Oryctolagus cuniculus: one gene and its partners. The protein of the gene in region 1 interacts with the protein of each later gene in a pairwise test. Links are inferred from orthologs where the notes say so. Each region holds a gene or a part of one and is shown in the gene's direction. Other genes may lie near its edges.

The links.
Region 2: the proteins of MTUS2 (region 1) and RTP5 interact in binary tests that used the Homo sapiens proteins (3 or more experiments, as listed by UniProt). The two-hybrid records come from large-scale screens. The link is inferred for Oryctolagus cuniculus from reciprocal best matches to the Homo sapiens genes MTUS2 and RTP5.
Region 3: the proteins of MTUS2 (region 1) and zinc finger protein 426-like interact in binary tests that used the Homo sapiens proteins (3 or more experiments, as listed by UniProt). The two-hybrid records come from large-scale screens. The link is inferred for Oryctolagus cuniculus from reciprocal best matches to the Homo sapiens genes MTUS2 and ZNF426.

Annotation. Positions count from the first base shown.
Region 1 is NC_091440.1:85,067,970-85,071,285, reverse strand, and holds the end of MTUS2 (microtubule-associated tumor suppressor candidate 2), read left to right. Parts: intron 1-157; coding exon 158-374; 3' UTR 375-2,778; downstream 2,779-3,316. UniProt on the Homo sapiens protein: Binds microtubules. Together with MAPRE1 may target the microtubule depolymerase KIF2C to the plus-end of microtubules. May regulate the dynamics of microtubules at their growing distal tip.
Region 2 is NC_091434.1:56,486-60,841, reverse strand, and holds the start of RTP5 (receptor-transporting protein 5), read left to right. Parts: upstream 1-1,551; 5' UTR 1,552-1,887; coding exon 1,888-2,180; intron 2,181-3,862; coding exon 3,863-4,356.
Region 3 is NC_091447.1:67,469,303-67,473,526, reverse strand, and holds the start of zinc finger protein 426-like, read left to right. Parts: upstream 1-1,419; 5' UTR 1,420-1,934; intron 1,935-4,224. UniProt on the Homo sapiens protein: May be involved in transcriptional regulation.

The DNA of each region.
Region 1 (3,316 bases):
GCACAGGTGTTGGCGGAGAGACTCCGGGGATCCGTGATCGGGGGCACAGGCTGTGTTTGTTTCACCCTGGGTGGCCTGGCCCTGGCTCTCCCCTGGGCCCTGCGTCCAGCTGCGCACCTGCTCACGCACTGCCAACTTTGTCCTTTTCCCCGTGCAGACAACTGTCAGAGGAGAACGCTAATCTGCAGGAATATGTGGAGAAGGAGACCCAGGAGAAGAAGAGACTGAGCCGAACCAACGAGGAGCTGCTTTGGAAGCTGCAAACCGGGGATCCGACCAGCCCGATTAAACTCTCCCCAACGTCTCCAGTTTACCGAGGTTGCGCCTCCTCGGGGCCCTCCTCTCCAGCCAGACTCAGCACGACGCCCAGATGACGTCACCACGCAGCCTAGGGGAGCTCCGGCTTCCGGTCCACCGCGAGGGCGGACTGACCCGGGGCCCGGCCCGGAGCCGGCCCAAGCGCGCATGCTCAGTAGCTGCATCCTGCCTCGTAGGCCGCGTCCTCTGCCCCCCACCGTGTGAGACTGTCCTGGTGTTGTTGGCATTTAGGAAGGTGTGTGATGTGCAAGCGTTTTACCATAGTTAGCGCCAAAAGAAAGACAACTCCAGTTCTCGAGGGAACTTCCACTGCAGAATTTCAGGTCACAAAAAGCTCAATTTTCAATATACACTCAGCAATCGTTGTGTACTGCACCGAGATGTGTGTGTATTTAGATACACGGATATACACATGCGGCGGTTCTCAGTTGCATTTTTTTATAACGTCAAGTGCTGACATATTTTAGTCACGGTCAGCAGTTTTCTAACTCGTGCCTAAGAATTATTGGGAAATGACAATGCATTTCTATCTAGTTTCCCAGGAATATTTCTACCCAAAATAGAAAAAGGAAAAAAAAAAAAAAAACCATACGGAGCAAAAGCGCCTTTGAACCTACCACCAAGTGGTACTCTATCTAGCATAAACACCAGCCATCTGTGAACGGTAACCGCCTTCGTGAGAGTCAGCGTCTCAGGCCGTCCCAGGTGAGGGCTCCACTCGCAAGGTCTAGTTAGGAGCCGCTCTGCCCTGCGTGGAAAGCCCAGGGGAATCCGCCGCTTTGCAGGTGTTCCGCACCACAGTGACTCAGCTACCGTCTCCTGAGCACAGGTCTTGTGGCATCTCAGAATCGAGCTGTAAACTTTCGGGATCCTTGAGAGAGAGAGAGAGGGTGAGGGTGACCCTGGAGGTGACCGAGACCCTTGGTGCACCATTCCTTAGGAAGGGAAACTGGCAAGCGACGGGGCCTCTGTCTGGACCAGGCTTGCTGCGAGGCTGTTGCTAAATGCGCTCAATTCATTGGAAGCCGATCTCAGACTTGCATTTCCTAGGTAGGTTCCCCACTTCAGTTTGGTTCAGCGACTCGGCTCCGTCACTGCACATGAAGGTGGCTCAGGGGTTCCGGCAGAGGCTTCCAGAAAAGTCATTCTTTCTGGTGGGTGGCCAAGCAGTGCTCCCCCCTCCCCCACACAGTGGTCCTGTCTCCGGCCGAGAAAGCTCCCGGACCGGGGCCGGGGCGCAGTGGCACAGCCGGTGAGGGCTCCCTGGCCACCGGCCTGGCGTCTGTCTGGGACACGATAGCGTTAGGATACAAAGAGGCACCCCCGTGGCAGAGTGGAAGACACAAGTGACAGAAGTAGTTTTGACCGTCAGTGGGGGTGATGGCGCCTTTTGTCTAAGACCCTGTACACCTCTCCCAAAGACCCCTAAAAATCGCCCTGAGCGTAGGCTGGGCTGAGCACACCCAAGGCACGAAGTTCCAGGCAGGGGTCTTGCGAGGGCTCAGAACCGGGGACGGCAGGCAGGAGGCCTCGCAGGGGCGTGCCCAGAACGCGCAGGAGGCCACGCAGGGGCGTGCCCGGAACGCGCGTGTGGCTTGCGTTGGTGACATGAGCCCGGGGGTCGGGCTTCCTGGCCTGGGGGCACATCTCGTTTTCTCTCAACCCTGCAGGGGCCCTGCCCGTGCTGGGGACACCCACGGTAGATAGGCATTGAAGACACATTTCTTTTTGCTTCTGTGGCTCTGCATGCTGCTGTAATGTTGGGGTTGGGCATCCTGTTAGAGTAGATCCTGCCATGATTATTTATTCTCTCGGCGGGCGCAGGCTGCCAACAGCAGCTAGGCTGCAGCTTCGCTGTCTTGCGTAACCGCCGCCTGCCAAACGCAGTCACCCAGCGATACAGACTCCCCCGCGATGTTAGCGTGTGGTGCTGTGTGTTAGGCTGTGCGCTCAAAGTTGTAGCGATGGTAGCGCTAAGTAATCCCTCACCCACCCGGTGGACCAGACCTTTGCCCTGGACAGCCGTGACCTTGGGGTTGAGCTGATGTCCACATGACCCTGGCTTTGTTTTTTGCTTCATGGACGCCCATCACGTCTAGCTCTTCATCTGAGTCATTTCTGTTTCCGAAACACATGGGACAACAGCTAGTGCTGCTGCGCCCCCTCCTGGACATTCCCCTCTGAACACACACAATTAGGACTGGGACTTCTCTCTGCCTCTGTCTCCATTCCCAGCTCGGGGGCAGGGGCCCTTCTCAGACATAGACGCTGCAGCAGGAAAGCCCTGTCTCGTAGCAATCAGGAGACGTGACCGTGGCCTGGGTGTCAGCCTGGGGCGGGAGTGGGATGGAGGTCTGGCACTCTCTGGGATTAGTCGAATGGGGTCACCGCGTTCCTCCTCCCTTCAGTTTCTGTGTTAACGTATCTGTGTTTAAAGCCTATTAAAATGAACATGAGGGACTTTCTGTGATATGCACTTGGTGTCACTGGAGACCTGACCCTCAGGCCGGAGAGTCCAGGCAGGGAGGTGTTGGCAGGCTGGGTTCCTTCCTGTGTGTGTGTGTGAGCACATGCGGGGGCACCTGATTGTCACTGAGAGCAACCCTGGAGACCTCCTCTCCGACCGGTGAATTCTTCAGCAGCGCAAACCGCGGCCTTGGGGGCTCAGTGGCTCCACTCGGCGGGGCAAGGTGGGCTGGTGTGGGTTGGAGGGACACAAGTGGCTGAACACAGTCCCCGCACTATGAGGTTCAAGGTCAGACCTTGATGGCTGTCCTGCACGAAGCTCATGGAAAATGGAATTAAAATATTAATTTATTGGGGCATAAATTTTTTGAAATCCATGCATATGAAGTGTCTTCAAAAACCCACAAAAAGTGTACATTATTAAAGTCATAAACTATGCATAGATTTCACAAATTTCTCACCTGTTTTCACCTGCAAGTGCTCGCTCCTCTCATCCCAAGGGCCTTCAGTGTGGGCAGCTGCAAGCCTGGCC
Region 2 (4,356 bases), on another chromosome or scaffold:
AGAGTAGGCCCTGCCCGGCAGCCCTGTGTCAAGGATGTTTCCCAGAAGCACGTCCCGTAGTTCCTCCTCTGTCTGTCACAGAAAGACAGCACGTATCTGAAAGTCAGAGCACGTTCAGATATGCAAAATAAAGCAGCACGCTCTTTTCAGGATCAGCGGCGAGCTGGAGAAGGGAGAGAACTGGTGAGCCGGCGGAGGAGTGAGAGGCCGCTCAGTGTCCAGGGCAGAGGCAGGAGAGAAGCCCAGGGCAGCCAAGAGCCCAGCAGGTGCCTGTGTGCAGGAGAGCACCTGCCGTCCTCTGGTTCAGGAAGAGCGGGTGGCTGCCAGCCCCGGAGGCCCGAAGCTGGGCTGGCACTGTGGTGCTGTCACCTCACCCGACTGCTGGTTCCAGTCCTGGCTGCTCCACTGCTAGTGCACCTGAGAGAGCGGCAGGGGATGGCTTGAATTTTTGGGCCACTGCACCCATGTGGGAGACTCGGTTGGGTTTCAGGCTTCTGGCTTCCGTCTGGCCCAACCCCAGCCATTGCAGCCATCTAGGGAATGAACCAGCAGGAGGAAGATCTCTCCCTGCCCCCCAGCCCGTCTTTCAAATAAACAAAATAAAAATAATTTAAAAACAAGAAAACAAAACCAGAAGGACCAAGCACCCTGCCCACAAGTAGAGGACAGATGGGTAGCCAGCCAGGTGCAGACGGGGCAGGGCGGAGTGAGCTGAGTGACCACGTGTGGCATGGAAAGGGCACATCCCCAAGACCTTGGACGGTCGTCTGCAGGCCCTGCACCTGCAGCTGGGCCCAGAGAGCTGGGCAGGTGGGCTGTGCAGCTGTGAGCAGGGCAAAGTGAGCTGAGCGACCACGTGTGGCATGGGAGAGGCACTGAGCCCGTCCAGGGGCATGTCCCTGAGACCTGGGACATCATCTGCAGGCCCCCAGAGAGCTGGGCAGGCGTGAGCAGGGCAGCCCGCCCCAGTGACTGGAAGGGACAGCTTCCAGGGGCCCACAGAGGCTACAAGGCTCTGGTTCCATGTGTGTGGGGTGTCTCCCGGGGGTCCCCTGAAATGGCCCTTGGGGGTGTCTATTCTTGTCAGCATGAGCTTCTCCAGCAGCCAGAGCAGCTGCCCACAAGCTCCTCTCCATGGTGGCTGCCCTGAGCCAGGTGCCCATGCTCAGGGCTCCTGGGGCCACCTCTGCACCCCAGCCTCAACATGGCCCTCGTCCTGGAGAAGCTGCCCAGCCACGGTCACCAGAGGCCGCCTCGGCTTGAGTCCTTCACTGACAGCTGTGGGTTGGCCGTGCGTGCAGCCCTGCCATCCTGGACGGCCAAGGCTGGCCTGCTTTCTGCACTAGCTTTCTCTCGCTGTTCCCTGAGTCTTGGGAGGGAGGGAGAAGCCAGACATGCTGTTTCCGCAAGCTGTGAGCAGGGCTGCTGAGGCTGCGGCTCAGGCCGTGCAGCCACAAGCGGGGCTCGGCCTGGCTGGGGGCAGCGCAGTGGTGGAGGGGCCTGAGGCTGGCGGCAGCAGGGACAGCTGCGGGCTGGTTCTTTGCCTGGGAGGTGTGAGGCTGGCATGTATGTTCTAGGCATTTTTATGTCGGTGTCTTAGAATTTAGTGCCATGCTGTTCCAGTTCAGGGTTGGCAGTCCGCTGGAAAATACCAGACCCTTGGAGAGACGCTCACGGGACACTGCTCACGCGTCGTGCAGGGAAGAGAGCAGCTGCAGGCGATGCATGCGTGTCACATGATCTCTGGTCTGTGACAGTGGCTGTGCAAGCATACACGCCCATGTACACGGCAGCCACACAGACATCAGCACACCCAGCTCGTCGCGACCGTGACCTCTGGGTGCTGGGGTCACAGGCGATTTCATTGTATTTTTCCTCTCTGCTTCCATGTCTCTGAGACAAACCGGTTGCCACGGAGACCGTGCTGTTGTCAAGGCAGCTGATTGGCCAGCGCGGGACCGAGGCTTCCTGGGAGCCCCTGAACGAGTGCGGCTGTCAGCCCGCAGTGCAGACACGCGCAGCATGGACGCGGCTGGGGCGGACGTGTGGGTGAGCACCTTCGCCCAGCTGATGAGCGAGAGGAAGCCCCGAGACGCCTGGGTCCTGCTCCCCCAGGAGAGCCTGGCCGCGGGGCCCCTGGACGGCAGCAGCTTCCAGTATCGGCTGAAGGGGCTTTCAAGGTGCGGCCAAGGGCAGGCGGGGGGGAGCCCCCTGTGGGTGAGGGGAGGCTGAAGGCGCCTTTCTAGGCTCTGAGACCGGGCCCGAGTGGCCCTGGAGTGGGTGCTGTGGGGCTGGCAGCGGGCATCCACCCCGCCTGGACTTGTCCCCCATCAGGTGGGTGGGGCCGGGCGGTGCCAGAGCTGAGACCCGACAGTGCTGACATCATGGCTGCCAGGGGGGTGGGCGCTCCCCTGGCCTGCGCTGTTCCCGTGGTGTTGCCATGGTGTCCAGGCAGGGCCTGGAATGCGCAGGTGCGGTGCTCAGGCCTGAGCAACCAGCCAGCCGGGCAGTCCTGCTTGGGGAGGCTGTGGCAGAGGGTCCCCAGGGAGCCTCATACTTCATCACCACCATGAACCTCCCCAGCGTGCATCCCTGGCTCATGGCGCCAGCCAGGGGGCAGCTCTAGCAGCTCCGTCGGCCCCTCGGCATGCTGACCGGTTGTCCTGCTCTCTGCCTCTGACCACATAGCTCCCGAGCACCGGATCTGGGGGCCAGTGTGTGGTGGAGCCCTGGCTCTTCCAGGTGCTGGGTCTGAGAAGACCGAGAAGCCCCTGCCTGGCCCCACAGCCAAGTGCTGCCATGTAGCGCATGCAGGTGGCTCTGGTCACCCAGACGACGGGGACCACGACACCCATGTCTCCAGCCAGGGCCACCAGGCACCTGTGGCTTCTGATCGCTAATCAGACTTAAGCAGAGTTAGAAGTTCAGCTCCACGTCCATGCGCTCTGTAGGCTCCTCGGCCGCGCAGGGTCTAAAGCAGTTCCATCGTCTGGAAAGTCCCATGGGCAGCGCAAAGACAGGGTCACTGAGGGCAGCAATGAGTGGCCCTTCATCTGCCCCCCCGCCCCGTCTTTTTAAAAAGTTTACTCATTTTTATTTAGATGAAGGGCAGACTGATGGGGGTGGGGAGAGACAGAACTTCTCCCATCCAATGGTTCAGCCTTCGAACGGCCACAACAGCCAGGGCTAGCCAGGCTGAACTCCATCCGGGTCTCCCACGTGGGTGGCAAGGGAAGCCAGCACCTTCGTCACCGAGGTCCATTGGCAGGAAGCTGAATCGGAAGCAGAGGCGGAGATTCCAGGTGCTCCGATACGGGATGTGGGTGTCTCAGGTAGTGGCTTAATCTGCCCACCCCAACCCAAGGACCTTGGAGGAGAGTCCATCCTGGGGGCCAGGAGCTGGGCGCTTCTTTCAGCCAGGGGTGTGGTGCCCAACTCTCCAGCTCACATATGAGGTGCACTGTTCAGAATCCAGGGGGCTTGTCCAGGGTCCCCCGAGCCTGCACTTAGCTGCAGGGGGCATCCCTCACACCAGCACCCCCTTAAATTTCCCAAATTTCTCATCACCTGGCCAGGCCCAGCCGGGAGGCCCTGAGTCGGCTCCCCCTCCTGCCCTGGCACTCAGGGAGTCCACACTGCAGACAGCAGAATGTGGGGGCGCGTGGCTCCCAGGCCTCCGGCCGGGGTGCACCCTGGTGCTGCCCTGCTGTGCGCGTGTCTGCGTCTCAGGTCTTCAAGCTGCAGGGCCTGGCCCAGAGCGAGGCAGCTCCGAGCGCTGCGGCTGCGCCGGCCGGCACCCGGCTGTTCCCGGGCTGGAGCTGCGTCCTGCCCGGCCGCGGCTCACGGCCCTCTCTCCCCGCAGGCTCCAGTGCAGCCGCTGCCTGTGGGTCTGGCGCTCGGCGCACGTGCACATCCTCTTCCACCTGTGGTGGGACGCGGGCAGCCGCCAGGGGCTGGTCAAGATGCGCGTGTGGGGCCAGCGGTGCCGGATGTGCCCCCCGGGGCCGCCGGGCCCCCGCGGCGACTGCCAGGTGAGCCCCCTCAACGTGTGGATCTTCCTCAGCAAGCTGGTGCTGCACATCCTGAGGCGGTGCTACGGCGACCACCTCAGCCAGTGCCCCGAGGTCCGCTTCGGCGACCGCTGCGAGGCCTGTGAGCTGCAGCTCTGCTTCCTGCAGACGGCGCCCGAGCTGGCCTGGGGGCCGGCGGCCAGGGCCGGGCACGCGGCCGGCTGCTGCGCCGGCGGCCACGACCCCGGCGGCCTCGCCGAGACCGACTTCCTCGACGGCGCCGCGGCGGACGGCGGCGAGTGCCCGCACGAGGGCGCCCGCGTCGTCTCGCTGCCCTTCTCCCTGG
Region 3 (4,224 bases), on another chromosome or scaffold:
AGGGGGTGCCCCTCACCATGAAATCCAGCTTCACTCTCAACCCCAGTTTCCTGCAAGTGTGCACCCTGGTATGTAGCAGGTAATGGCTCAGGTAGTTGAGTTTTGCCCACACACAGGAGACCTGGACCAAGTTCCTGGCTCTGAGCTGCTGCCTTGCTAGCTCTGGCAGTTGTGGACATCTGAGGAGTGAACCATGAGATTGGGGCTCTTCCCCACCACCTACTCTGCCCCCTCCCAGTAAATAATTTAAAAGAAAAAAAAACATAAACTCTTTTGACTACAAAAAAAAAAATTGTACACCAAAAGTTGAAAACAGAAAAAGCTGCATTAGAAAGTTGATAATGGGGCCCAGCGCTGTGGCATACAGGGTTAAACTGACGCCTGTGACGCTGGTATCCCTTACAGACCCCAGATCGAGTCCCGGCTGCTTCACTTCCGATGCAGCTCCCTGCTAATGCACCTGGGAAAGCAGCGGAGGATGGCCCAAATGCTTGGGCCCCTGCCATCCACATGGGAGACCCCGATGAAGCTCCTAGCTTTGGCTCAGTCCAGCTCCAGCCATTGGGGCCATTTGGAGAGTGAACCAGAGAATGTAAGATCTCTCTATCTCTCCCTCCTCTCTGTAACTTTGCTTTTCAAATAAGTAAAATACAACTTTAAGAAGAAAGTTTATAATGTACTTATTAGGTCCTGATAAAATGTGCTATTAAGAATTTAAATAAAAATTTACTTCTCAATTACCAGCCACTGAAAACTACAACAAACATGACTACTAGAGAAACTCTTTAATCATTCCTAAGTAAAGAATGCCATCCAGCAGTGGTATTTAAAAAATATATATTTATTTGAAAAAAAAAAATACCCCTACAGAGAGGTAGAGAGGTCTTCCATCCCCTGGCTCACTCCCCAGATGGCTGCAATGGCTGGAGCTATGCTGATCTGAAGCCAGGAGCCAGGAGCTTCTTCCAAGTTTCCCACGCTGGTGAAGGAGCCCAAGGACTTGGGCCATCTTCCACTGCTTTCCCAGGCCACAGCAGAGAGCTGGACCGGAAGTGGAGCAGCTGGGACTCGACCCGGCGCCCAATAGGCCACAGCACCAGCCGGCAGCGACATTTTACAACATTGGATGGCAGGCCCTGGATCACTGGAGATTCCCACAAAGCCCAGAAATAGTTGGGTTTAAAAAAAAAGTTTATGAGCTACAAAAAATATCAACACCCTGAAAACGCACAGGAATCCACGGTTAGAATTTAGCGTTCTATCCCGAGAGATACGTGAAATAGAGGTCTACAAACAAGGCTGACAGGGAGGAGGTGACCTGCCATTTATTTCATAGCTCGGCCTGCCCTTTGCCGTGGGACATTGTCAAGGGCGCCGGGCACGCGAGCGGAGGAAAGCACCCAGCGTGCGGCGAGTCCCCACCCACAGCCTTCGGGGTTCAGGGACAGGCGCCGTCCACTTCAACCGCGCCGAGTCCCCTCAGGGACCCCCAGCGCTCCGCGCCCAGGGCAACCGGAAGCTCCGCGGAGTCCCGCCCCGCAGCCCGGAGGCGGAAGTGGCGTCACAATCCGGCCGCGTCCCCCGTCCCGGGTTCGGGAAATCTCCAAAGCTGCTGCGTTTTCGTTCCTCCTCGGGTTGGTTCCTTCTTGGAGTCGCTCGCGTGAAGGGGAGGCCCTGAGTGTGGAAGGAAGGCGACGAAGGACGCGGGTGGCTTCCTCAGGGAGGCCCGGGCCTTCCGGAGCCGCGAGTCCTCCCGGGGCCGCGGGGCCCGAGCGGCCGCTCCGCGCGTGGGTGCCCCGGACGGGCCCGGGCCGGAAGCGTCGCGACAGCGCGGCCTGGGGACGTTTCCGTCCTCTGAGGTCGGGCCTTGGGAAATCTCCGGGGACCGCCCGTGCCCCGCGCTCCAGGAGGGATCCGGGATCCGGCGCGTTCCGGTGAGCTCCGAGCGAGAGTGGGTTCGCAGCGGGCCTCCCCGTGCTCGTAGTCGGCGTGGCGGCACGTCACGCTGAAGCAGGAGGATGAAGGTGCTTTCGGAGACGCCCGGTAGAGAGGTGTCTCGATGGGAGGGTTACACGCTCGTGGGCGACAGCTCGTCCTGCGGAAGGGAAAGTCGAACGCTCGATGTGCCTCGGCCCGGGCGTCTCACAGAGCTGACGGTCCGGGGCCGCCTCACTAACGCGAGGCTTGAAACAAGTCGAATTGACTGTTAACAGAGTGATAGTCTATCTTTTTCCCCACCTTCTTTCAAAAAATTTTAAATCTACCTAGGACAATGAATGCCCATTGTAATAGACTCCTCTGTGTTCAGCATGTGCCATGTTTTTTCTCTCTTCAGATAAGCAAACATATTTTATGGTTAAAATTATATGAGAGTGCATTGAAAATAAATTAGACATGATGCCTCCACGTTAGCTGCAGGTGTGATGTCTCCGTTGTTAGGTATTTGCTAATGCAACTCAAAGGTGAAAGACATTGGACTATTATTTCAATCAAGAAAGTGAAAGACTGTCACGTAATATCAACCCTTTTTAGTAGAAGCCAGAATTCTCCACATTGTTCCAAATTTGGCTTTTGTGCGGTTGAGGACATTTGGATAGGGAACCTGAGGATGGAGGATCTGTCTCTCCCTCCCTTCTGTCACTCTGCAGTTGAAATAAGTAATTAAATCTTTTTTTAAAAAAAAATCCATTCAAGGTTTTGTTAACAGAGTTAGAGAGAGAGATAGATCTTCACCTGCTGGTTCACTCCCTCAGTGACCACAGTGGAGGCCAGGAGCCTGGAACTCTGTCCAGGTCTCCCATGTGGGTGCAGGGACCCAAGCACTCTGGCCATCTTCTGCTTTCCCAGGCACATTAGCAGGGTGCTGGATCAGAAGTGGAGCAGCTGGGACTTGAATGCATGTTCAAATGGGATGCCAGCGTTGCAAGCAACAGCTTAACCCACTGTGCCATAATTTTGATGTTGCATTTATTAATGTCTTTTAGTCTGTTGAATCTAGGTTAGTTCCTATTGTTCCTGCATTATATTGACTTAAAGATTTATTTAAAGAGGAGGGAGATCTTCCACCTGCTGATCCACTCCACTAGTGACCACAGTGGCCTCGGCCAGAGCCATCTGGGTCTCCCACATGGATGTCACAGGCCCAAATAATTTGGCCATCTTCCACTGCTTTCCCAGGCACACTAGCCTGGAGCTGGATCCGAAGCTGGGCAGCTGGGACTCAGACTGGTACTCTGATAAGGGGTGCCAGTATTGCAGCAGATGATGGTGTGAAATGCTAGGGTTCCTGTCACTCACTTGGGAGACCAGAATGGAGTTCCTGGCTCCTGGCTTCAGCCAGACCCAGCTCGGGCTGTTAAGGACATTTGGATAGTGAACCTGAGGATGGAAGATCTGTCTCTCCCTCCCTTCTGTCACTCTGCATTTGAAATAAGTAATAAAATCTTTTTAAGAAAAAAAGAATGTTTTAAAAAAATGAAACTTTATTATATAAACCTAATAAAGGTATGATTTTCTGTTTGTTGTAAAAAACATATTCTTTTTTGCATTTAAAAAAAAAACTTATTGGTGGCTGGCGCCGTGGCTCAACAGGCTAATCCTCTGCCTTGCGGCACTGGCACACCGGGTTCTAGTCCCGGTCGGGGCGCCGGATTCTGTCCTGGTTGCCCCTCTTCCAGGCCAGCTCTCTGCTATGGCCCGGGAGTGCAGTGGAGGATGGCCCAAGTGCTTGGGCCCCTGCACCCCATGGGAGACCAGGAGAAGCACCTGGCTCCTGCCTTCAGATCAGTGCAGTGCGCCGGCCACAGCGCGCCTGCCGCGGCGGCCATTGGAGGGTGAACCAACGGCAAAAAAAAAGGAAGACCTTCCTTTCTGTCTCTCTCTCACTGTCCACTCTGCCTGTCAAAAAAAAAAAAAAAAAAAAAAAAAAACAACTTATTTATTTGAAATGCAGAGAGACAGAGAAAAGCATCTTCCATCTGCTTGTTCACTCCCGAAATGACTGCAATGGCCCAGACTGGGCCAGGCTGAAACCAGGACCTCAGGCTTATATTGGTCTCCTACATAGGTGGCAAGGGCCCAAGTATTTGAGCCATTTTCTGCTGCTTTCCCCAGGTACATAAGCAGAGAGCTACATCAGAAGCAGATCAGGGGCAGGCGCTGTGGTACAGTGGGTAAAGCTGCCGCCTGCAGTGCCAGCATCCCATATGGGCACCAATTAGAGAC